Linked DNA regions of Cricetulus griseus. The protein of the gene in region 2 interacts with the protein of the main gene of each other region in a pairwise test. Links are inferred from orthologs where the notes say so. Each region holds a gene or a part of one and is shown on either strand. Other genes may lie near its edges.

Region 1 (10,648 bases), on a different chromosome or scaffold from region 2:
TGGAGAATTTTTCATCTGCTGCAATTACATCTATGTGGGATGATATTTTATTTTTCCAGAGGCTCTTCTCATCTCTCTCTTTTCACTAGGGAAGAGAATACTCAATACTAACATCAGCTCAGGCCAGGTATAGACTAAAGGCCCAAAGAATTGGTTCAGTTGATTACTCAGCCCATATGATCTTCCATGACTCCTCAATTTCATTTTGTACATGACTATCTCCCCACTACTATTGCCCCAGAGGACTATTTGGGAGAATCTTATTTTTTTTTTTAAATGTATATGGGTTGTCGGACTGTGGTCATGCCTGCTTTTAATCTCAGCTCTCAGGAGTCTGAGGCAGGTAGATCTCTGTGAGTTTGAGGTCAGCCTGGTCTACAGAGCTAGTTCCAAGGACAGCCAGGGCTATCCAGAGAAACCCTGTCTTTAAAAAAATGCCCCCATAAGTAATACATAAACAAACAAACAAATAAAATGTATATGGGTGTTTTGCTTGCACAGATGTCTGCACACCATGAGGCAGGAAGAAGATGTCAGATCTCCTGACTGGGGTTACAGACAGTGTGAGCCCCTGTGTGGCTGCTGGGAATTGAACCTGGGTCCTCTGGAAGAGCAGGCAGTGCTTGTAACCATTTAGCCATCTCTTCAGCCCCAGGAATCTTATTCTTATTGGTCTCAGATCTTTATCCTTTCCCTTCTTTCTGGAGTTGTATTCCCAGAACCTCAACATCTACCCTAATGGGCTGTGGGGGATGTCGGGCAGACTCCTCGTCTCTCCCTATTCTGGTCCTGCATGGACTTATTCAACTTCCCTGCATCGGAGCGTTCCCATTCTCAGTGGCCGTTGACTGCCACTCTAGTCACATTCTTACCTCCCAAATCTCCAACCACCAAGGCAGTCCTTTGTAGTCCAAGCTTCCTGCCTTGGTTGGTACATTGAGCCACCTGGTTGCTGCAGTACTCTCTGTGGACTTATCTCCAAACTCCTGGTCTACTTTTGATTTTTAGGTTTCTGTTATTTCTGGAGCTAGAGAGTTTCTCTACACCCAGGACCATTGCAAAGAGGCAACAGGATGCACCTCCCAATATGGAAATCAGTCTGCAAGACCCTTGGCCATGGAGAGAGCCCTTACTTTGGGCACCAGGTTGTAATAAATGGATCTGGGGTCTCAAGAAGATGAGCACATAACCCAGAGTACTCTAGCAAGTCAAAGTTTTGCTTTAGGGGAACGGGGCATTGCTCTTGCCCAGTGGTGCAGAGATGCCAGTAAGCACACCACTGCAGGTCCTCTGGGTTTTCATTGCTGACAAAGAGGGGTCCTGTGCCTCTCTCAGTGGTCAGAGTGTGGCCTCAGTTTCTTTTGTGACTGACTCATACAGAACAGCACAGTTTCTAGGCAGAAATGAAACTTGAACATGTATTCTGATTTCAAGAAGTGCTGGTTTTTGGAGGAATGTGAATTTCTGCCAAGTAGCTTCTATGTAATTTTTTAAATGGAATTTTGTCTAATTTAACCTTAGGTAGAAAAGACAGTGAAGTGGTTTTTTTTTTTTCATTTCCCATAAGAAGTTTGAAGTCCTGGATCTGTGTTTGATCCTACAGCGTCACCAGACCTTCCTCCCATCAGAGTATCAACCAGGACTGACCCTGATTAGCTTCTAAGACCAGATTGTCGTGTTGAGTATTAACATAGCCTTAGACTCCCCTGTGCCTTGCTGACACAAGTCTCTTCTGAATTGCTTGATGTATCATTAACCCCTTATTTGCTTGTCCTGGGCATATACACAGTAAGTGCTCTGTCAGTAACTCAATGACAGCGGCTGGAATGGAACAGAGGCCAGCATCAAGTAGAACAATGCAGACATAAACATAAATTGAGAACTACAATTAACTCAACTTATTCTAGCACCTTAAATGAATTTTTCTTGAGCTGGGGAAATCCCTCAGTGGGCAGGAGTACTTGCTGTATGAGTAGCTGATTTCAAATCTCCAGAACTCACATAAGCTATGTGTAACCATCTACCTGGGACCCCAGGCTGTGGCAGGGCAGAGACAGGAGGCTCAAAGGCACTTTCTGGCCACCAGCTGAGTCACAGGTTCAACAAGATGTCTTATCTCAAGAGAACAAGCTGGAGAGGGCCAGTGAGATGACCAGATTTAGATTTGAGCTTGATGAACCAGACTCTGATTCCTAGAACCTACAAGGTGGAAGGGAACTGACTCTAGCAAGTTGCCTTCTGCCCTCCACATGTGCACCGTGGCATGTGCTCATACACACATCACATGCACATGAACACACTCACAGAAACAAATGTAGAAACACGAACTAAAATTAAAAGAGAATAAAGTGAGAGGCAGAGGTAGGAGTTTAGAGTTACTGAGTTTGAGGCTAACCTGATCTACATGGTGAGCTCCAGGATAGCTAGGACTATGTAGGGACCCTATTACAGAGAGAGAGAGAGAGAGAGAGAGAGAGAGAGAGAGAGAGAGAGAGAGAGAGTAGAACACCCAAATTCCTCTTCTGGTCTCTGAGTACACATATGTATGAATACATGTATGAATACACCACAGACAAACAAAAATTAAAAAAATTTCCTTTGACAGTTCAAGAGTTGGAAACTTGCAAAATCCACAAAAGCATGAATAAGAATTTAAATGCTGCTAGGAAGCATTCTCCCTGAAGACCAGCTTTCATAGTGCCGGAAGTGCAGTGTTGGCTGCTGGGAGAGAAAAGACGTCAATAGTCTTACCCAGATATGGGTCCTCTGAGCTGTAGTAGTGACCGGCATAGCATGGGTGCAGTACTTGTGCAAATGCTATGGGAGTAGCCAACAGCTCTCTGGTCGGATTTCAGATGCGTTCCACAGGAGGATATGTATGCCTGGTATTGCAAATCTGGCCAAGATCCGTGGCTGTTGAGCTCACAGGCCCCCAGGGTGAACCTACAGCCATTATTCTGCTAAATGAACATAATATCAAACTGCCTTCTAAATTCATACCTCTATACCCATAAAATTAGCACAGCCTTCAGACCTCATCAGAGAAGCTTCTTTGTATAGTGAATGGCAGTAGAAATTCACAACTGGTCGAAGGGCAGAGAATAGGTGTCTGTGGAGTGTTCAGCCACAAACGTGAAATCTGTATCAAGAGGGAGCAGAAAGACTGTCAGAACCAGAGGTCGGAAAGAACTCTTCTGGACACTCCAGGACTGCCACACCTGTGGTCACGGCAGCTGGGTTGCCTGTACAAGATCAAGCCCTTAATATTTCAACACAGAGCAGGAAGGGGCTTATGAGCCCCCACTCCTAGCTGAGGAGCTTTTCACATTTGATGGCTTCTGGGGAAGGAAAGTCAGTTGCTTTGTAAAGGGTGCAGCCCTTGGTGGTTTGATCACAGCCCAGTGTATAGCTCTACACCCATGAATAGTTGGGCAGCAGATTGGACTTGGTGGGTTATAAAAAACAAAAGGAAAGGAAGGAGAGAATGAGGATGGATGTAGGAGGAGTTGGGGGGGAAAGTGGAGCAAATATGATCAAAATACATTGTATGTATGTATGTATGTATGTATGTATGACATTCTCAAAGAGTGAATGGAAGCATATTTAAATGCAAAAGAGTTAGCTGCTGTTTTGTAAATAGGAGATGCTTTTTGTATGAATAATATGGTTATGTATTTACTACCTATTCATGCTGTAAGGAGTGCTTTGAAACATGCTTAAAACATAACACTATGGGGCTGCAGAGATGGCTTAGTGTTTGAGAGCACTGGCTGCTCTTCCAGAGGACCTAGGTTCAGTTCCTAGCACCCACATGGCAGCTCATAACTGTCTGTAACTCTAGTTCCAGGGGATCCAACAGTTATATAGACATACATGCAGGCAAAACATCAATGCATATAAAATTAAAAATAAATAAAATTTAAAAATCCGGCAACACTTCCTAGCATTCCTCCATTATTTTAAAATGCTATTTAATTGCATCATTTTAAGTTACTGCATAATATTCCTAACCAGAAAAATGTAGATAGTTGAAGGTAGGTATTGATAAGATTTATGTAGAAAGATCAATTTAGCTTCTTCCCAGGATGGATATTATATACTGTAATTGGCCTGATTTTTTTTTTTTTTTCTGTTTTGGTTTTTTCGAGACAGGGTTTCTCTGTGGCTTTGGAGGTTGTTCTGGAACTAGCTCTTGTAGACCAGGCTGGTCTTGAACTCACAGAGATCCTCCTGCCTCTGCCTCCCGAGTGTTGGGATTAAAGGCGTGCGCCACCAACGCCCGGCTATTGGCCTGATTTTGATAAGCATTGTGGGAATTACTGGTGTGCACGTTTGAAAACTAACTGAATTACCATTGCAGTAGGGTAATGGAGAGGGAGAGGGGATCCTGGAAAACACAGAGAGGAAGCTGCAGAGTTGGGAGCAGGACCTAGGTTGGCTGCTGGGCAAGTAATACCAACTCGTCGGTACGCTGAGGCAGGCAGATAACAAGTTTGAGGGCTACTTGGACCACAGCGTGAATTTAAGGTCAGCTTGGGCAACTTAGTGAGACCCTGTCTCAAAAGAAAAAAGTGAAGAGAGGCCAGTATGTGCTAGCTATATGTCAAGGCCCTTCCTAAAAAAGAAAAAAAAAAAAATGGGACTAGGGCCGGTGCAAAACCAAACAAATCTGGGACTAGCAACTCCTGCAGGTGGGGACCGAGGGAATCCCAGCTGGACGAGAAGAAGAAGAAAGGGAACGCATTGGCCGGCAGGGCCGGGGCAGCCGGAAGGCCGCGCGGCCAGCTGGGCTCCTGGCGGCCACCGTGGGCCAGCCCCGCTCCCATCTGCTGCTCCTGAGGTTGCCTGGCAACTCGGGTGGCGCGCCGTTCGAACGGAAGCGAAGGGCCAATCAGGAAGTCCGGGGCGAACCATTGCAGCGACGGGGACCGCTCGCTCACTTCCCTTTCCTCCGGGCTCTGGGGACCTTCGTCCGGCAGGACGGTAGGACAGCCAAGGCCTGCCTCTCGGAAGAGCCCGCCTGTCTCAACACGCGACGGCCGCCTCAGAGCTCTGGGACCAAGCGCTCCAGCTGTCAGCCTCGGCAGCTCGCGAGAAGCGCGGGGGACCCTCCAGACACAGGCGGCAGGTGAGCATGGGGGTAAGGGGGCTCACAGGGTCTGGGGTAGGTCCACGCACCATTCGAGGCGAGTGTGCCAGCACAGAGGGCTGACCGAGGGTCCACGTCTATCTAGTGTCCAGCCCAGGGGGCCAGCGGAGGATCCGGCTGTTCCCCTGTCCCACCCTGCAGCCTCCACTCCAGGCAGATTTTCTTTGAGAGGTTCAGAGGGCCCCTGCTGGTCACTCTCAGGGGCTTGTTGAATGTGGCTTATGGGATCTCAGGGCTAGGCTACCTCTACCCCAACTGTCTTTGGAGTTTCCCTTCAGGACATATGGCCTTCCGTTCCTCAGGGACTCTGGCAACTTTTCTGCCTGAATGGTCCGGAATCCCAGTGCTGCCCTCTCAGAGGGCCTCCCTGGGGGGCAGGCTAGATTCCGGAGGACAGAAAATCCAAATGCCCTGGAAGTCATGTGGGCCTCTTGGGAGTCTGTTCCTGTGTGTGGTGTGTAGTGTGTGTGTGTGTGTGTGTGTGTGTGTGTGTGTGTGTGTGTGTGTGTGTACTTTGGTGTGTGTGTACTTTGTGTGTTGGAGGCGGGTGGATCAGCCTCTAAGCCAGAGTTGCTAGTCACTGGACTTTAGAGTTGGGTGCTGGGTAGGCCCTCCCAAATGGAGCATATAATTTAGGCTGCCTATGTTCCCCGCTCAGGTTGCTGTCTGTTGTTGATCTCTTTTCATAGATGGGGAAACTGAGGTTCTGAGAAGTTGAGCCCATTGCTCAAAGTCACAGTCTTACCTATTCAGAGAAGAACTGGATTTGATGGAGGGCCTCTTTTGTGGGGAACTGCTCATCCTCCACTCCTCATTCTGGCTCTGGGGGTAGTCTGTGTTTGCCTGTCTGTCCATGTGTCATCTCCTCCTACCCTGAGGGTCTTGTGTGGCCCAAGTTGGCTTCAGTCTTACTATGTATACTAGGCTGGTCTTGAACGTCCCCCTGAATCTGTCTTCTCTGATGACAAGCATGGGTCCCCACTACACCAGTTTTTTTGTCATTTTTAGGATGAAACCCAGGGCTTGGTGCGTGCTAAGCAAGCACTCTACCAACTGTGTTACACCCACTGAACATATACCTCCTGAGCCTACACCCCCTGCCTCATTTGTTCTTTCTACATTGTTTGGCTTCCTGTGGCCGCCTTGTTTTTCTCAGTAGTGTCTGTTCCACATTGTACACTAGGTGTCTTACTAGGCAGTTTATTGTCTTCTCCACTTGAATGTGTCAGACAGGTAAGATGCTTAGCACAGTCACAAAATGTCAGGGTGCCCGAAACTTCCAGAACCAAGATGATCAAAGCCAACGTCTGTTGGCCATTTGCTATGTTTTGTGCCAGGGGTGGAGCAGGGTAGGGTGATGTCAGCTCTGGCAGACTCTGGCAAGCACAGGCATGGATGTTACACACACACACACACACACACACACACACACACACACACACACACGCATTCTGCACCCTCCCACCCCATCCAGCTACCTCATTTTTAGGCAAAATGACAGGTGCTACATTGCGGCCATGGCTTGTTGCAAGCGGGAACTGGACAGATGCATAGTGGCCAGTAGGGGCTGATGAGAAATAACCGGAAACTCCTTAAGTACTGATGTGGCACCAAGAGGAACGTGGGTTACCCAGCAAAGGCGCTGAGTGAAAATGACACACACGACACACTTTGTAGTTTCGACCGTGGGACAGCTAATTCAGAAGCCACTAAGTAGACATGGTGATTACATCTCCAGAAAGCTATGAGGTCACTGCTCTGCCTGTGATTTGTCACTGGCTGTGTGACTTTGGGCAAGTTTCTTCACATTCTGAGCTGGGGATAAACACTGCATGTGAGCTCAGGCCTAGACAGGGTACTGTAGGACAGGAAATGGGCGTGGCCACAGGTCTAACTCAAGCCTTACCTTCCCAGCCTTTCCCTTCCTTCTCCCTCTTCCACTGTAAATCTGCCTTTGCTCCCATTTTGTCAGGGTGCAAACTGAGTCCCCAAAGTTTGAATTAGAGGAGGAGCATATATTGGGGGCGGGGGTCCGTAAAGACGCTCACTGTCCTAGGCATCCACACCCACTCATAACCCTCTCCCTGAGGTTCGTGCAAAGCCACTCTGAGCAAGGCTGCCTCATAGGCAGGCTGGGGCATGATCCTGGGGAAAACTCCAGAAATAGCTTGGAACCTGGCCTGCCCTGGAGAATGCCCAGTCGGGTGTCTCTGACCTGGACAGCTGGGCTGGCTCTACCCCACTGCCTGGAGCCTTCTTGATCCTCCTCAGCAGCAACTAAAGGCCTCCCTGTCTACCAAGCCTGAGCCAGGTTTCCTTTGAAAGGACAGAGGAGCAGGTGGGGTGGTGCAAAATGTCGTAAAAATGGTCAACCCTAGAAACCCACCTTCTTCGGGGAAGAAAGGAAGCAAAGGGAAGAGTGAACACACAGCTGCTTGGGCTCAGACCACTTGCAATGTACTCCGTATTTTACCATTCTGAGTTGCGATGTACCTCCACCCTATGAAGTGAGGGGCTTACTGCTTTTATTCCATGAACACATATTCCACATAACAGGCATGTGGAAGTCAGAGGACACACAGGAGTAGTTCTTATCTCCCAATGTGGGTTCGGTGGATTGAACCCAGATCTCCAGGCTTGTATGGCAAGCACTTTTACCCCAAGCCTATCTGATCCCATCTAACCACTTTGAAGTTTGCAGAAACTCCATACCCAATAAACAGTCACTTCCCACTCTCAAACTCACCCTGGCAAACACTACTCAACCTTGTTCCCAGTGTTTTGACTCTATATACATAGAAGCATGCCTTGCTGTATCCAGCTTATTGCACTTTGCCCGATGTCTTCCAAGTTTCATTCATGTTGTAAAGTATGTTAGTCTCCTCTCCCCTTTAAAGGCTGAATAATCTGTTGGATATGTGGTTTGTGTTTCTTTACCCATTCATTCATTGGTGGGTATTTGGATTACTCCCACCTTTTGGCTGTGGTGACTAATGCTGCTAGGGATTTAGTATGAGGGCTTTTGCTGGCATGCACACTCTAAGTCCTTTGAGATGAGTGTTTAGAGGTGTGATTTCTAGGTGCTGCTCTGGTCATTCGTTTAACCTACAAAGAACTGTCACGTGGTTTTTCACTATCAGCTGTGCACAGGGTTCTAAAGCCCAACCTCCTCATCAGCGCTTAATATCTTAATGTGTGTTTTGGATAGGACTTGCGCTAATGGGTGTGACACTGTGTGTTGCTGTTCATTGGCATTTCTTTAATGGTCCAGAGATGTGGAGCATATTTCTTTACATTCATTGGCTTCATTGGCTCTCTAGCTTTTGCATGCGTGTGTGGTGTGTGTGTGTATGTGTGTGTCTGTGTATGTGTCTGTGTGGGGCTAGGCTGGCTTCATGACCCTCCTGCCTCAGCCTCCTGAGTGCTGAGATTAAGGTATGTGCCACCAGGCCCAGCTTCTTTTTCTTCTTTGTGGAAGGTACTGCTTCAAGTGACTGAACTTTCAATTGTCACCACACTGCTGTTCTTGTCCCTGCAGTGTGATGGTGGAGGCCTTCCTCAGAGCTGGGCCTTGGAGGATCTACATGTCCAGCTATCATCACAGCTTTCATTTTGATGGCAGTTGTCTCGCCTTGGGCCTGTTTTATAGTGGGGGAAGCAAGTATGGAGAAGTTCCCTGCAGCAGAGGTGTATGGGTGGGCCAGAGCCCTGAAGATTTTGACTTGGCATCTTTGGGGGAAGAACAAGGCTTGGCTGGAAGTGGCCAAGCTGGAACAGGGTGAGGGGAGGATGGCCGGGGAGTGAGTGTGGAAAGGACAACAGTAACGTGGCCTAGGGGAGACTTGGCACTCATGGACCCTGCCATCCCCCAGCTAATTATTAGCTACAAAGGGGAAATGACCAGTGTGTCAGCTGATCACCAAGATCTTGTCAGCTGCTCCTAGGAGGGAGGCGTGCTAGAGACACAGGGACATTTCTGTGCTCCTTCCGTACTGTGTCCCTCCCTTCCTCCTCCTTCCTTGTCTCCATCCCCTCCCCCTCTTTCCTTCCTTTGGAAATTGGAGTGTGATTGACATACAGAAAGCTGTGTGTGTTTGATGTGTATATCTTGATGCTGGCCTGGGCCTTCTTCAGCCTCTTGGTCAGTGATGTTTCCTCGAATTTGTTCCAGGGAAGAAGAAAAGACAGCAGAGTAGTGTGGCTCAGTTCAGTGGGCAGCCAGGAAACAAATGACAAAGGTGCTTTAAGGAGAAGAGACCCCCCCAGGGTAGAAAGGGAGGGCTGGCAGAGGAGGTCACATTTGAAATGAGGCTTGAAGACCAGCGAGGGACAGGGTTCTACACGGTGAGCAGCTGGTGCAAAGGCCCCGGGGCGGCAAAGACCTTTGTAAAGGACTAGTCAGGAGGATTCTGTGGCTGGTCTGGGAATGGCAGTGTGGATGAGGTGGCAAAGCTGGGTAAAGACCAGAGGGCCACGCTGGGGGCTGGAATTTATCCCTGGGAGGGTATAAGGGTCAAGCCCAGCAGTCGTGAGGTGTGGATCTGCTAGGAAAACACTGTCATTATCATCTCATATTATAGCTGAGGAAGCTGCAGCCCAAAACACATGTTTCCATAGGTGGCAGATTCCTGTGGAGCCCAGGCAAGGTGGCTGAGGGCTTTTATGGAATTTCCCAGGAGGCACTTTCTGTCTCTGGCCTCTCTCCCTACCAGATCCAAGCCTGGGTTCAAATCCTGGTTCTGTCATTTGCTGGCTGTGTGATCTCTATGCCTTAGTTTTCTCATCTGTGGAATGGACACAATAGCAGTATCTACCTCACAGACAGGTATAAGAATGGAATGAGTTCACATATAATATGCATGGCAGTGCATACATGTAATCCCAGAAGGAGAATGGAGAGTTCCAGACCTGGACGATACTGCAAGACCCTGTTTAAAACAAACACCCATCCTGTTTAAAACAAACACCCTGTTTAAAACAAACACCAATGGCAGCAACGACAACAACAACAACAACAACAAAAGCTTCGAATCGTCTCTGCTTCTAAAGAAATATGCTGGGATGACCAGGGCTTCTCCTTGACAAGTGCTTCTGTCTTTGTAGTTTCCACTGTTAGTGCCTGAGGCCAGCTGTAAGTCTGTTCCTTTGTTATCGCAGCCAGGTCAGGCAGTGAGCTGGTCAGGCCACTGTGGGTGACTTGCCCCCCATCCTGTAATATACAGGACTAGAGGGGGCTTCAATGCTCCAAGGGAAGGAAAGTGGACAGGAACCACTTACTGTCTCCCCCTGCCCCACCCTAGCCCTGACTCAGCCTCCACCTGGGTGCAGGGTTGCTTTGCCAGTGCTAGGGTCTGAGGCCTGGTGGGTATCTCCTTTCCCTGGACCTCACAATACCCTGGAAAGTGACAGAAGCCTTGAACTGGCAGAGGGGACAGTTGGAGCCCTCCCAGGGCCTCCCAGGGACAACCCCCACCACCAGCAGGGTTGCAGTCTCCTCTG
Region 2 (10,822 bases):
TTCTTTTATTTGCATTCTTTTCTTATGCTAGGCTTATTCCTAAGGCTAATCACCAAGGTGCTCACTGAAGTCCAGCAATCAAAAGCCCCCTTAGGCTGCCTTAATTAACGTGAGCAATCCAAACATCCCACTGCTTCCTAGGCCACTGTAACACAGACCTCCTGTTTTCTGTCATGGCCCGGCTTGTCTCAGCTTTAACCCACGACAGCCATGAGGTTTTACCTGAGTGGGGGTGTGTGAACTTGGAAGCTTCTAGGAACCCAACGACGATAAAGACCAAACACAGGCATCTTGTCACCTTTAGAGAGCTCTCAGTTCCATGTTTTGGAACTAGAGCCATTGTTTATTAGCCATCTTTTCTGGTGTCCCTTAATCATCCTGCTAGTACCACGAGGCAACCATTTCTCCTTTTTTCCCTTGCTGCTCTCTCCAGCTCTGGCCTTCTCGCCCACTTCGTTCCTCCCCTTCTCCGCTCCTACCACCAGCACTTCTGGCCAGGTGAGGGCCTATTCAGATGCTGAGGCACATACAGATGCAAATAAGAGGCATATTACCCTCAGGCCAGGTAAACAGTTAATTAACAATACAATGGCCACTCAGAGCTCCCTGGCGCCACCTCTGTTTATGTGGCCAGGGCCTGGAACCCAGAATATTCCATAACAGGGATATTTGGTCCCCCAGTTTTCCTCTTAAAAATCACACCTGTAAGATCATTCGCTGCTGTGTTCTGCCTAAGTCAGAAATCAGCCACTTTACTTTTCTTCCATGCTTGATAAATAATCTCTCTGTGAAAATAGGTGTTTGGGTGTGGTTTGTGCCTAATCGGGGTCCAGGAGGGTGCACCCCTCCCTAACCCCTGCTGTGTGTACGGGGGAGGAGGGAATCCCTTCTAAGAGTGACTGAGCCACACTTCTGTGGGAGAAATAAAGCATCTTAAAGTCACACCGTTTGTGGTGGCCGAACCAAAATGGGAAGACCAGAACCCGAGACTCCTGTGTTTGTCTCTGCACTTTGTTGCAGTCACTGTGCTACACAGCCTGGGCTTTTATCATTTTATTCCGGGGTCAGCAGACAACCGCCCGGCACTTTGTGACTCTGCTTGTTTGCAGAGCTCAGTTGCGACTGAGGATCAGAATAACAGTGATTTTTTTTTTTCTTTTTCTTAATGAGTCCAAGTGTACTCTTGGTTCCTAGCAGTTGCATGTGCAATGTGAAAACAGACAGCAGTGGGCGTGAACTGTGAATCACCGCAATAGACAGGCATACGTGAGTCGGAGTGCCTGCATCTCATGTTACCATTGTCTCTGGGGTTCATTGTCTAGCCCATCTACTGTAGCTAATTAGCCACAGCTGCACTTCGCATAGGGCTTCCTGTGTGCTGATCACTCATGTTCAATGGGAGACCACACTCTGCATTCCTTCAATTTGTGTCTTCCTAATTAAACTGCAAATGCTGATTGCTTCTTCCTCTTGACCGGAAAAGCTTAGATTTTTATCACCAAGTCCCTAGGCTTCTGTTTTTATCAAAACGTTTTTTTTAAAGCCCTGACCCTAAGGACCCGGGCAGACTGGACAACAGAGATAACTTTTAAATAGTTATCTCATTTCCTAATTGACAAAAACTGTCACGGTGTGATGACCTAGCAGGATCTGATGTGTATTACAAAAGTGACAAAGATTCTACACTGCAGTGGCACTAGAGAGTACGAAATCACTCCTTCCTTTGTATGGCAGCCACCAGTCTGTCATCTCTTAGTCTTTAAAATGAAAAACTCTACTTGACCTGTATATGCTTAAGGAGAAATTACAGTAATTGATTTAACACTTGGGGCCGGGCATAACAATTATGGAATACAATTTGGCTATCCAAGGTAACGTGCTAATAATATCACTGTTTACAAAATAATTATGATGGTGGTGGTAGTGGCGGCGGAGGGTGGTGGTGATGTCACTGTTTACTGCCAGGTCATCTCCTAACACACTGGTAAGGATAAGACCGATAGAACATAAGACATGAAAGCTGGAAAGGACCCGGAGGACGCCCTAGTTCAAACTTAGTTGGCAAAAGAGTAAACAAAGTGAGGAACCAGCTTCCCTTTCAGCAGCCATAACAGCCAAACACGTGCTTGCCACAAACCTGCCTTGGTCACTTAGAGGTCAGATGCCTGTCTCGTGACAAGGAACCCATCAGAAGTTAGTCACTAGAAAGTCAGATGCCTGCCTCGTGACAAGGAACCAATCAGAAGTTAGCTGGTGGCGCTATGCTTTACGGCTCTGGGTGTGCTTTACAGACAAGTGCACAGCAATGACGTAGAGAGTATAGCAACCACCCTGGGAGGGCCTATGGGCCATAACAACCAGTTGACCAATCAACACAGGGCAAACCCTCCAAGCCTGGAGGCACACCAATCGTGAGCCTGTGTGTACCCCTAGACACTCCCCTTACGCTGCCCTGTAAGATCTTTCAGGAGCCCCTAGGAGCCGTCTTTTCTGGCCATCCGCCTTGGCGGGTGGATGAAAGACCCTAGCTAACATGGGGTTAGCTCGTTAAATTACAATAAAGCCTCGTGCAGTTTGCAGCAAGCTCTCGAATCCTCCTGGTGATTGGGGTGACCGAGAACGTGGCCTGGGACCCCGGATACTTGAGTTTTCGGGGGTCTAACACCATAATAGAGGGAAACATTTTAGGTTTACAGAGAAATCAGGCACTAGGGAAATGTCTGGAGATCTACAAAGATGACACCAGCTAACAATCTAAGCAACAGAGGAGAGGCTACCTTAAATGACCTCCCCTGATAATGAGATTGACGACTGACTTATATGCTACCCGATAGCCCTCATCCAGCAGCTGGTGGAAGTAGAAGCAGATACCCACAACTTATCACTGAACTGAACTGGAATCCAGATGCAGAGAAGGATGAGTAAATAGCAAAGGGGTCCAGGCCAGGCTGGTGAAACCCACAGAAACAGCTGACCTGAACATCGGGGAACTCTTGCTCCCCAGACTGATAGCTGGAATACCAGCATGGGACTGATCCAGACCCCAGGAACATGGGTTTCAGTGAGGAAACCTCAGAAATCTATGGGACCTCCTGTAGTAGTTCAGTACTTATCCCTAGCATAGGTGTGGACTTTGGGAGTCCATTCCACATAGAGAAATACTCCCTGAGCCAAGACACATGGGGGTGGGCCTAGGCCCTATCCTGAAGGATATGATAGACTCTGATGACACCCTATGGAAGGTCTCACCATCCAGGGGGAGGAGAAAAGGTAGGGTTTTAGTTGGGGGGATAGTTAGGGAGGTCGGGAGGGAGAGGGGAACTGGGATTGTCATGTAAAACAATCTTGTTTCTAAATCAATTTTTTTAAAAAATCTGAGAAAGAAAAAAAAGAATACACAGCCATCAAACTTTCAAACACCAATTTTAAAGGGGTTGCGACTAAACCAGGGGTGGTGATAACAGTCCTGAAACCCCAGGGCTCTGGAGACCGAGGCAAAAGGATTTCAAGTTTGAAGCCTGAGCCACATGGTGAGACCGACCTCAACCAAACAAGGCTGTTTCTACAAAGCACTCTTGGAGGGAATGCTATGTCTTCCCAGGAAAATTCTTTGTTTTTCTGCTGAAACAAAGTCAGTGTCTGTGGATATACCGAAATCTCTACCTGACATGCATGAAAGCTAAGCTATGATCTTCTGGGAGCTTCCAGAAAGGCATTTGCTTTCCTGGGAAGAAGGTTGCTCATTGTTCACCAACCGGTCCTCACTGGCTGAGCCTAAGACTCTGAAATGGCATAAGGCAGCAATAGCTATGATGTGACAATTTTATAAATTAACTATGAAATTGTCCCTCACAAGCTCATGTGTTGAAATGCTTGAATACCAGCCTGGTGCAGTTTGGGGAGGTTGTGAATTGTTTTTAACTTCATTTTTTTTGTTTGTTTTTTTTTTGGGGGGGGGGCGTTGGTTTTGGTTTTGGTTTTTCCAGATAGGGTTTCTCTGTGGTTTTGGAGGCTGTTCTGGAACTCACTTTGTAGACCAGGCTGGCCTTGAACTCACAGAGATCCACTTGCCTCTGCCTCCTGAGTCCTGGGATTAAAGGTGTGTACCACCACTGCCCGAATTAACTTCATTTCTTTTTCTGAGAATTTCATATATGAGTACTGTATTTCCATCATTTTGACCTCCCTCTAACTTCTCCCATGTCCCCTCTCCCCCACTGACTATCAAATTCATGACCTTTTTTAATTATTAGACATACACACACAAACCCAATCCATTTAGTACTGTTCATATGTACATGTATTTAGTGTTGACCACTTGGAATTGGATAACCTATCAACCAGGACCTTGGAAGAGTGATTAGGCCCCCTTACCCACACCTTTAAAGTGAAAAAAAAAAAAAAAGATATAATAATCAGACTGGTCTAAGGTAGTTTGTCGTGGCAGCCTAAGCAGGTTAATACACAGCCATTCTGTAGAGAGGACAGGACATCACTTTCTTCATTCAGCTACCTTATATGAATGCAAGGGCTACCCAGAGAGATACAGAAAGAAAATGCCTGTCTGTATTGGTCTCAGACACATCTGCCATGTAATAGCAGACTGCCAATGACCTACAGACCTATAGACCTACAGTCCATCACAAATAAGAAGTTGTATAACCAGAAGGAAGTGGATTCTGCCAACAACCAGGAACACTGGAGGAGCTCCAAGCTCCATCTAAGAGCCAGCCTGGCTGATGGCCACATTATGGCCTGTGGAACAGGTCCAGCTAAGCCATGCCTGAACTCCACAACTGTGGGAACATAAGATAGCGAAGGGTTTTATGCCACAAAGTGTATGGTCACTAGATACATAGCAAGAAGGCTAACGCATACCTGCTGATGGATTTTCTGTATCCCAGGGTCAGAGAAGGAAGTAAGGCAGGTGACATTCATATGACTCTAAGCCAAGCACGCTCATTGACACCCAGGAGTCCCACTGGACCAGAGAAAAGAAAGACAAGTTATGATATGTGGAACCCTACCACCCTCAAACAAATTTTCTCTCAAGGTTTGATGGAGTAGAACCACAGCATAATTTGAGAAACACTATCAAGCCGACCAAAAATTGGCTTCACCCTCTGTCCTGGCTGTCAATTTGATACAACCTACACTCAACTGGAAAGAGGGAACATCAACTGAGGGACTGCCTGAATCAGATTGGTTGATTAAAGTGAGAGGGCCTAGCCCACTGTGGGTGGTACCATCCCTAGGCAGATGAATGAAGGATGCTATAGAAAGATAGCTAAACATAAACATGAGCCCGAGCCTGAGCCTGGGTCAGAGAGTGAGTCAGCAAGCAGCATTCCTCTCCAGAGTTTATTTGAGCACCTCCCTAGAGTTCCTGCCCTGACTTCACTTACTGACAGTTTGTAACCTGGAAGTGTAAGCCAAATAAATCCTTTCCTTCCCAAGATGATTTTGGCCAGTGTTTTATCACAGCAACGGAAAAGCAAGCCAGTACACCTTGCTATCTTGAAATCTCAGACATCCATCGGCAGGAGGTATCTCTATGCAATAATAAGTATCCTGGGATCATTCTTTTAAAACACGTATGCCTGAGCCCCACCCATGACCCTGCAGTCAAGTCTGTATTCTTATAAAAGACACTCATATCCGGGAACTAGCCACAGCAAAACATCAACCCAAATGCATTCCATAAAGTGAGGTGTCAGACACAGAAAAACAAACACTGCACACCCACTCATACATGTGGAAGCTAAAAACTCCAGGTCACTAGAACAGAAAGTAGAACGATTACCAAGGGACAGGAGTGAGCATCAGGGAAGGACAGGGACGGGGAGGGGGTGGTTGACAGGTACAGTTGCATAGAAGAACTCTGAACATTCAGGAACCCAACAGACACTATGGTTGACATTGGTAATTGAATATGCCAAAACAAAAAACAAAACAAAACAAAAAACCGGATCTGTTTCTGTTTCCATGCTGTGTTGCTGCCATGAGGACCAGCCTTCAGCAGCTCAGGATTTGAGGGGGAGCCATGAAATCGAGCAGACTAATCACACAATTGACTTTTCTATCTGAGGATGTAAAACTTAATTTTGGGGGGCTGGTCATTGGGGCAAACTTAACTCCCTGGGGCTGGCGAAAAAGGAAAACACACACACACACACAAACACACACACACACCCTTTAGAGTCTTTCTATCATATCTCTCTTTTATCTCTTTCTTTTCTTACCTCTATCCAGATGTATCCCTTCTGTGTATTCTTAATTTATATCCCTTACAGCTTATTTGCCCAGTCAGAATCTTTCAAGCAGTATAAAAATTACACTGTGGTGACATTCTATTTTTCAAGTGAACAACTGCAGTGAATACAAGAAAGAAAAAAAAAAAAAAAAAGCATGTTTCCCATTTCCCTTACACGATTATATCATGTATTACAGGTGAAAAACAAATTATCTCCAAAACCCCACACACATTCATGTCCAAGCAACTTCTTATAGATTAAGCATGCAAGATACTTTTCTCAGCCAGTTCTTTTGCTGGCAGGCTGCATTTTTTCAGTTACAAGGAAAAGATCGATTGCTTTATTATTTATCTTAAAAGCAAGAGCTACATCCCAGGAGCTCCCAGAATGACCTGCAGGCTCAGAGTCTCCTTCCACCAGCCTTTGTTACTTCTTAGATAACCTTGGGTAACAGCCTTGGGAATCTTGTAAGTTTCAGGAACTTCACAAGCCTTGTAAGTTTTGTTTACTTCCGGAGTCTGAAGTTGCCTCCCTCCTGACCAAATGTTTGAATTAGGAGGTTATTGGTGTACAACATCCCAATACAAAGACATGATGTCAAAGGTTGTGGGTATGCCATTCCCTTCATGTGACCATGCTGACCTATATGTCTATTAAATGTCATAATATGCACAATTATGTACCAATTATTGTTAAACATCACTTTAAACCCATTCTAGATACAATTGGAATTATGCAATCAAGTGCTCACATTTTCTGTTTATTTTAATCTCTGCACTAGAAAGAGCCCTTCTCCCCTTGAGGTCAGCCCGGATTCCCAGTCCTATCCTGAAGCCATCTCTGCCTCCATGTTCTCTATTGGAGGTTGTTGCCAGCTCTCAGGTCAATGTGCAACCTGTTCATTTTGTCCCAGTGCGGGCACCACGGACCTGCTGCCCTCCCCCTTCGGCTGTGCCCAGCTAATTAATACCTGCTGCTACCAGGCTCCAGGCACAGGTCAATCCCCTCTGCTCCATGTCTTTCTTAGGTTTCTCTTGCTCTTATAAAACCCCATGACCAAAAACAACTTGGGGAAGAAAGGGCTTATTTCAGTTTACACTCCATCAGAAAGGAAAGTCAAGGCAGGAACTAAAGCAGAGGCCACAGAGGAATGATGCTTACTGGCTTGCTCTCCAAGGCTTGCTGGACCAGGGATGACATCACCCGAAATCGGCTTGGCCCTCTCACATCCACCACTAATTAAGAAAACGTAGCTGAAACTTGCCTACTGGCCCTTCCCATGGAAATATTTTCTCATGGAAGTTTCTTCTTTCCAGACTCTGGAGATCTGAAAGGGGACGTGACCTGGAGAAAGGGGAGGTGACCTGGAGAAGCTCTCTGAGACTCAGTTTACCTCTGACAGCTCTACCCTCCCCTGACAAGATGGGGATGTGAAAGACTGCCAAGCATGCCAGAGTATCAATGATGCCTCACTCCACCTGGTGTCACTTGGTCAGGCCTTGGCATTCCCAGCTGTGACCTCTGCTCCCACTACCCTCAACACATACCCGTACACCTCCCTCAGTGCACATGAGTTCCTAGTAACACTTGCTTCAGACATACCTGACTAGTTCGTGCCGAGCCATCGCTCCAGCTCACTAATTTACATCTTGATGGACCTTTGGCTATTCTACTCATCTTTCTTAGTGCAGTGAGATAAATATTTGAAATACAAAAGATGGCATGTATTGACTTTTCAGATTATGAGACCACTCCACAGAGAACATGTTTTCTGTCAGTGATTTAAGGGAGGAGAGGCGCCTAGCATTTTATTTTTGAAAGTGGAGCACTTTCCAGTTAAAATTGCCATTCTAGCAGGGCATTGGTGGCGCATGCCTTTAATCCCAGCACTCGGGAGGCAGAAGCAGGAGGATTTCTGTGAGTTCGAGGCCAGCCTGGTCTCCAGAGCGAGTGCCAGGATAGGCTCCAAAGCTACACAGAGAAACCCTGTCTCGAGAAATAAAAAAATAAAAAATGAAATAAATAAAATAAAAAATAAAATAAAACTGCTATTCTAACCACAGATTATATATGACGTATATAATTCCTTTTGGTCTATTAAAAAAAAAAAAAAAAGGACTGGTCAGGGATACAGCTATGGCTCAGTGGTTAAGAGCACTGGCTGCTCTTGCAGAGGACCTGGGTTTGCTTCCCAGCAACCAAATGGCAGCTCACCACCATCTGTAACTCCAGGTCTAAGGGATATGATGCCCTCTTCTGGCCTCTTCTGGCATTGCATGCATGTGGTGTACAGACATACATTCAGGCAAGCCTTCATACACAATTTAAAACAAAAACAAACAAACAAACAAACAAACAAACAAAAAACTAAAATTACCAGTCATCTTATCGTTTGTCTTTTACAGTTCCCACCTCCATTTCATGTACCTTCCTAATAACGGTGCAAGGAAGAGGATAACTGACAACCGGAACTGAGTCCCTGCTCACCCAGGTCCAACACAGCTGCTGAAGGATGCACCTACATCCCCGCCTCTGTCCTTGTTCGCTGGGCTGCCGCTCTTGTTCAACTATTCTTGGATTCCCAGAAGCCCTGACATAGTCCCATTCATCCCTATTTCTTTGTAATGCAGGAATAAACTATTTGTAGGCAAATTGGCATACTTCACTTCCGAAGTAAAATTATTTCCATTCATCTTCAAAAAAAAAAAAAAAAACCTAGCATTTATGAATAAGTCAACCCTTTATGTTGCATTGTTTTTCTCTGATCTATTTCCTCTCCTCTGAGTCTCCTCAACCCTCCAGCCCCAGGTTCTCTGGAATGCAGTGAGTCATGGGGATCCAGACACTGAAACATCTGTCCTCAGCTCTGGCCCTGGATTGCTCTAGAACCACGGAACTTATTCATCAGTGGGCTTTTTAAAACATCCTCTCACCAAGGATCTAAAATTATTGCTGTCTGCGCAATCACCACTAGCGAAATTTACTTACATCTACTTACCTTCTTCCTGACAGACATCGGCATGGTGATGCGACCCAGGTCCTGTTTAACCTTCATTTAATGCCTTGTGTAGTACCAGGCACATAACAGTAGTCAATGCATGCAATAAATCTACTCGGAGTAAATTGAAAAACTCTGGCTCTGCTAATCTAGGCATAAGTGGGGAGACCAGAGAAGGGGACTTGCTGCTGGGTCAACTGTACATCCACAGCTGGTATCCTAGTTTCTGCTGGCTGTCCTTGCGGATGTCCAGGCAACCTCACAACCAACTACTTTGTCTTCCTATCCCCTTTCACCTTAAACAAGGCTTTAAAGAAATGAGAGACCAGGGAGTTGTAAGCACCCCCAAGGGGGTCACCACCAACACTAAAATGGCTCACGTCAGATTCTCGGTGTGTCAGGACTTGAGTATTCTTATAGTGGTATGAATGTTCAAAATGCTTAGAGAGAAAATCTATAATTCAAATATTTTAAGTCAATATTTAAATATGAATTTCTAGACAGTTAAAATCAATAATTATAAACTATTATGTGTTCATTTTCAATGAGTATCCCCAAACACTGCCTGCCCTCATTTCCTTTCTGTTGTTGTGGTTTAGTGGTCCATCACTGAGAAGTCAAAGCTGGAACTTAAGAATACAGTCCTAGCTAGGGCTGGAGAGATGGCTCAGCGGTTAAGAGCACTGAGTGCTCTTCCAGAGGTCCTCAGCTCAATTCCCAGCAACCACATGGTGGCTCACAACCACCTTGAATGAGATCTGGTGCCCTCTGCTGGCCTGCAGACAGAAGACTGTATACATAATAAAATAAAAATCTTAAAAAAAAAAAAAAACTACACTATATTAAAAAAAAAAAAGAAAAAGAATGCAGTCCTATCACTTCCATAGTCAAGAGCAGAAAAAAAGGAAATCCACTCAAGCCTGATGATGTGTCTACCTGAAATCATCTGGCTTTCTCTTGTCCTGTATAGTTCAAGCACCCCTGCCTAGAGAATGATGCAGCCCAATGGACTGGTTCTTCCTACATCAATTAATAATCAAGAGACCCCCCCCCAATAGGCCCAAAGACCAAAACACCATGTAGGCATTCCTGCAATTGAGACTCAGGTGATTCTACATTGTGTCAAGTTGGAAGTTAAAACTAACCAACACAATGCACTTAAACATGCTAATGGTTACATAGTGTTTCATTACACGGGCATAATAATTTTATTGACCTATATTCATTGTATATAATGGTAGATTTAGTGAACATGTTTTCATTCAAGTATATCATGGTCCTTAATATATTCATTCACCACCACTACAATCCCTTGTGTCATTCTTAATTTTAGTAGAAAACTTGAATGTTTCCCCATTTTATATAACACTAGCTGTAATTTTCTTGTATGTAGTTCTTATTATATTGAGGTATACCTTTTCTATTCCTAGATTCTTTGGAGATTTTATGATGAAGTGATGTTGGACTTTGTCAAAAGCTTTTCTCCATCTATTGATTTGGTCATGTAATAGTCTGTTTATGTGATGTGTTATAGTTACTGATTTCTGTGTATTGAACCATCTTTGCCTCC

What was found.
Region 1: the proteins of Mtus2 (region 2) and Fam110a interact in binary tests that used the Homo sapiens proteins (3 or more experiments, as listed by UniProt). The link is inferred for Cricetulus griseus from reciprocal best matches to the Homo sapiens genes MTUS2 and FAM110A.

The regions. Positions count from the first base shown.
Region 1 is NC_048599.1:28,033,255-28,043,902, forward strand, and holds the start of Fam110a (protein FAM110A), read left to right. Parts: upstream 1-4,914; 5' UTR 4,915-5,128; intron 5,129-10,648.
Region 2 is NC_048597.1:83,797,744-83,808,565, reverse strand, and holds the start of Mtus2 (microtubule-associated tumor suppressor candidate 2), read right to left. Parts: upstream 6,612-10,822; 5' UTR 6,243-6,611; intron 4,982-6,242; 5' UTR 4,879-4,981; intron 1-4,878. UniProt on the Homo sapiens protein: Binds microtubules. Together with MAPRE1 may target the microtubule depolymerase KIF2C to the plus-end of microtubules. May regulate the dynamics of microtubules at their growing distal tip.